Linked DNA regions of Kluyveromyces lactis. The protein of the gene in region 1 purifies or fractionates together with the protein of each later gene. This does not show direct contact. Links are inferred from orthologs where the notes say so. Each region holds a gene or a part of one and is shown in the gene's direction. Other genes may lie near its edges. The genes, in order: SHE3 and MLC1.

Region 1 (2,814 bases):
TTCCAAACAGTATCTGACCAAGATGATGCAAAGAATACTTTAGAGAATATCCAACAGGGTAAATTCACTCTACTTGATTTCAAGAACCAGATGCAAACAATAATGAAGATGGGTCCCCTATCAAACATCGCGAATATGATTCCTGGTATGGGGAATATGCTTAACCAATTCTCAGAAGAGGAAACTTCAAAGAAAATGAAGACAATGGTGTATATTTTTGATTCAATGACCAAGAAGGAACTTGAATCGGACGGTAGAATCTTCATCGATGAACCTAGTAGGTTGGTAAGAGTGGCAAAGGGTTCCGGAACAACGGTATTTGATATTGAAATGCTTTTAATGCAACAACAGATGATGGCAAGAATGGCGCAAACAACTAAACAAATGGGAGGACTCCCAACAAAAGGCGGAATGCCACCAAAGGCAGGTATGCCTTCTATCCCTGGTATGCCATCAATCCCTGGTATGCCAAATATCTCTCCACAAATGATGCAACAGGCTCAACAGCGTATGAGACAGAATCCTGGTATGATGAACAAGATGATGAGTATGATGAAAGGATCTGGAGGTGGTATGCCAAACATGCAAGATATCATGGGAATGATGCAAGATCCAAGTATGCAAGAAATGGCCAAGCAATTTTCTGGGGGAATGTAGAGCGTTTTCTTCAGAATGGGCTATTATAAAACGCAATCGGCAGATACTTGGATATTTGTACATCTTAGTTTAGTTACATACACTCTTATTTACCTTCTTCTTCGTTAATCTGTAAATTAGAAATCCACCTCTGTGATTATACCTTCAATAGAGCTAGCTTCATTATAAATGGGTGAATCGAGCCCAGTTTCTTCTTGTGCAGTCTCTCTCGAAGTACTATTCGTAGTAGATCATTAAAACGATCATTGTTTACATTTCAAGAAAAAAAAACGATATCGAACTGAAACAAATACGTTAATATTAAGACACACGCAACTTAGAATGACAGAAGCATTCAGTTAAAGTTCCAGAATCGTTGGAAGTAATATCTAGGACCGACTGTGGATGAAGATGACGGAAGCACAAGAGTTCTTGACTCCTACGAAAGGTGTGAATTCAAGCAAATTCAATATCAACCATGGCCATTTTATTACGAACCTAGAGAATCAGGAGAGTCCGTCCAAGCTAGGTGCATACACACCGGGAAAATACTCTACCAGTAGAGTAATAGAATCACTACACAAGCAGATAGACGAGCTGACGAGTACGAATCTTAAAATGACGTCTCAATGCCATCAATTAGTGAATGAATTGGAATCTTCTGGGAAGAAACAGAATAAACAATTGGAGACCATCTCGAGACTGCAGACAGAAAATATGAACCTAAATGCAATACTAGATAGGAAAACTAATAGAATGAATGAATTGGAGAGTTCTTTGAAGAAACAAACTGTGTTCAATGAAGATGCAGCCAAAAAAAATCTTGAGTTAGAAGAAACCGTTAAGAAACTATCACTCGAAAACGAAAAGCTTACGGAACAATCGACTCTGTATAAAATTCAATATGAAGCTATCGTCGATGCACACCAATCTTATAAACAGTTTTTCACGAACGAAACAAGCACTTTACGAAATGATCTAATGTCTTTGAAACAATCCATGACCAAACAGTTGGAATCTAAGACGAAGGAAGTATTGGCAATCGATGAAAAGATACAAAATAAACTAGAGTCACTAGACAGTGCTCAAGAATCCTTTAAAAAACATGCATCTGAGCAAATAGAAGATAATATCAAAGAACTAAGGCTTGATAGTTGGCAATCTTCGTTAAGAGAAGCGCAAGCTTTATTGAAAGAATACAAATCACAAGCACAAGCAGAAGGTATTACCATTCAAGAACAACCCAAAGCGTCTATCCCACAATTAAGAAATCCCAAGAGGAAAACTAGTGGTCAAAAGAGGACAAGTTTTTATGGAACTCCTACTGGCTTCTCAATACCATCAAACAAACAAACGCCTCCATCTAGCAGTTCAACTCAATTGCCTGGCCTCAAAAGAGCTTCATCAATCAGAATATCATCAGATCCGAACCGTAATAGATAGCAAGAGTAGTATTTCCCAATATTCTATTGTTGGCAAACATATATTGTCAATAAATTATCCTGGCGTTTCTAACTTATACATAAATCTAGCGATTCACAATTCATTATATAGAATTTATGATTTGAATAAAAACGTTACCTTTCTTGAATCCGATTTTCCAGAGAATACCAACACTATGTTCAAGTACTCATCCTAACCGAGCAGGTAGTAGTGAAGATCTACATACTTTCATCAGCGTTCATTTTTGTATTCAGGATATCGGTTTCTTGTGTTTCCTGCATGATCCATTTCCATATATTTTCGAAACAAAGGATTATTTGTATAAAGAAAGGAACTTGGCACGAATCCTAAACGATTAAACAAAAACGACAACAAATTACAATGACCACTGGCCGATCGTGCCGCCTGGAAATCATCATTTTTACAAGGAAAACGGCGAAATCAATATCATAGTACTAGACAGTTGTCTCTGCAAGAAGAAATGGGACAACAAACCTTCGAAGATAATGAAGAGATTATTTATTCGTCATATCTTGTAAAAAAACCCACCGTCTCGAAGTCTATTTCATCCACGAAACAATTGGCAAAGAACTGGACTAATTGGAGTGTCAAGAAGACGAAATACAATCACAAGTACTGGTGCGTCTTAAGGAAGACGCAATTCAGTTATTATAAGGATGAGTCTGAGAGGGTTGCCGAGAAAGTTATTCCGATACAAGATATTTTGGGATGCAG
Region 2 (2,258 bases), on another chromosome or scaffold:
TGTTGAAACGGAACTGGGAATTTAAAGAATTTCTGGACGCAGAAACGAACTGATTTGGGACCCTACTCTTTAGGGTCTGTTGTTGGACAAGTCTAAACATGGTTTTAGACAATGGCAAAGAAGATGTTCTTTTTAACCGGAAAAAACACTAATAACGAACAGTTGATTAGCTCTGTGTATAATAATCAAAAGAATTTGTTAGTAATATGAACCAAAGACTTTTTTTATAGGTAAAAGTCTAAAATCTTGAATAGTGTTAGAGTTTAGGGAATATATATATATCCATCGCCTCTGAGGGAAACCCGAACCTATTGTAATCGGACATAGTAGTCACACATACCTTTTTTTTTACTGATGAACGAAGGAACACAATATAATGTTCAGAGTTTAAACGGTATACTGATCTGTGATATAGTACTGAGCTATAACAAAAGAAAACACAACAATGAAAATTATGTCTTAGTTAACAAAAGTGATACGACACTGAACGATAAAAAACTGTTATTGAGTATGTTAATAATCGCTTTTGTTATATAGGTCATATCAAAAAAGAAGCTTGAACACTTTTCATCGCTCGACAAGAAGACAAAAGAAAAAGTGTCATCAGATGTCAGGAACATTGGATGCTGAGGAAAAGAAACTGAACGAGGGAAGGTTGGAAATTTTCGAAATGCGATGTTGAATTGTGCGGGTAACAATATATTTGACTCACGTGATGGGTATTTAAAATCCGGGTAAATGATATCTGACTGAGTTTTAGGTCGTCCAAAAAAAGAGCTTTTGAGGCCCCAGAAACAATAATTTGTTTTCCATTTTGAAAAACGTAAACAATAAGAGTATCTTTACATTTGATATATTTACTGGAGGAAGGCATGCATTGTTCTACACATTCGAATAGATTTATATTTACCTTGGAGCTTTAAATAGTATCTACTTCTTGCTAGGCTAAGTGATACTGAATCGTGATTTAATTACGCAGTACTGTATTATTCATTGAAGAAGTGGGAAATCAATCATCATGTCCAGAATCAACAAAGATATTTTTACGCTATTTGACAAGCAAGCCAAGGGATCCATCAGTAAGGCCCAAGTTGGTGATTATTTGAGAGCAATTGGATACAATCCTACCAATGCGCTAGTGGAGGAAGTTGTCGCTTCTTCAGGTGACGAGTTGACCTTAGGTGATCTAGAAAAATTAGTTAAGGATAACGAAGAGAAGTTGGAGCAAACTACTCAAGGTAAAGTAGAGGATTTCATCAAAGCCTTTCAAGTTTTTGACAAGGATAATACTGGCAAGGTATCACCAGGTGATATTCGTTACCTATTGACCGGTCTAGGGGAAAGGTTAACTGACGAGGAAGTTGATGAATTGATGAAGGGGATCGAAATCGACTCTGACGGATTGATCGACTACAAGAAATTTGTTGAAGATGTATTGAGACAATAAGAGAGAGGATGTAATGCAACTCAAGATTACATGCATTAGTTAGTATAATACAAATATATATATAAATATAAATACCCAATCTCACACGCCAGGAGCTTTGCTCTTTTGTTCTATTCTAAGCAGTCCGATACTATTGACTTGTGACAGTTCTAGATTCAAAACCCAACGTCTTCTGGTAGGGTGAGAATTGGCATGAAGTTCCCTATTATCATCATAGGTAAACCAAAGGCGTCTCTTTTTAGCGTCCATAGACAACAACATTTAATAACGCTTCCCTTGATCGGGGTTAATAGATTACAAATTCGCATAGTTTCAGCACCTCTGAACCCCTGATATGCAACCCTAGTGAACGTTTGGAAGTACTCCATTACCGTATCACCATCCATCAATTCGACTATGAAGGTCATTTTGTTGAGTAGTTCTAGACGATTCCAGCCAGTCAATAGAGAAAACTCGTCATTCACATAACTGATCTGTCCGTTACGTCTCCATACACAAGTTGGGGTACCAACCTGAGAGATGAATTTCTCATACTCTAATAAAGTTCTCTGATGGCTCTTTTCCATAAATATCATATCTTCATCGGTGAGGTCGATAGTACTGGCAATGAAAATTGGTCGTAACTCAGCTAAGCAGCGACACATTTCCACCAATTGATTTTTGTCAAATCTTCTTTTGAGATATCGAAGCAATGCATGGAAACCAGTAGTACTTGGAAACGCTGTTTGAACCAACGAATATATTTCTGATGGTGTAGTGAACCTCAAAGTATGCGGGATCTCGGTATCGTGCGGTATCTCTCTGTATTCTG

What was found.
Region 2: the proteins of SHE3 (region 1) and MLC1 purify together in Saccharomyces cerevisiae (affinity purification with mass spectrometry, with the first as the bait; 5 studies listed by BioGRID). This does not show direct contact. The link is inferred for Kluyveromyces lactis from reciprocal best matches to the Saccharomyces cerevisiae genes SHE3 and MLC1.

Annotation. Positions count from the first base shown.
Region 1 is NC_006040.1:759,754-762,567, forward strand, and holds SHE3 (She3p), read left to right. Parts: upstream 1-1,041; coding exon 1,042-2,079; downstream 2,080-2,814. Other genes in the region: RNA-binding signal recognition particle subunit SRP54, read left to right, coding at 1-657; OPY1 (Opy1p), read left to right, coding at 2,561-2,814. UniProt on the Saccharomyces cerevisiae protein: RNA-binding protein that binds specific mRNAs including the ASH1 mRNA, coding for a repressor of the HO endonuclease. Part of the mRNA localization machinery that restricts accumulation of certain proteins to the bud and in the daughter cell.
Region 2 is NC_006042.1:961,872-964,129, reverse strand, and holds MLC1 (Mlc1p), read left to right. Parts: upstream 1-1,018; coding exon 1,019-1,447; downstream 1,448-2,258. Other genes in the region: KLLA0_F10461g (uncharacterized protein), read right to left, coding at 1-100; ERT1 (Ert1p), read right to left, coding at 1,603-2,258. UniProt on the Saccharomyces cerevisiae protein: Essential light chain for the class II conventional myosin MYO1. Also acts as light chain for the class V unconventional myosin MYO2 and for IQG1.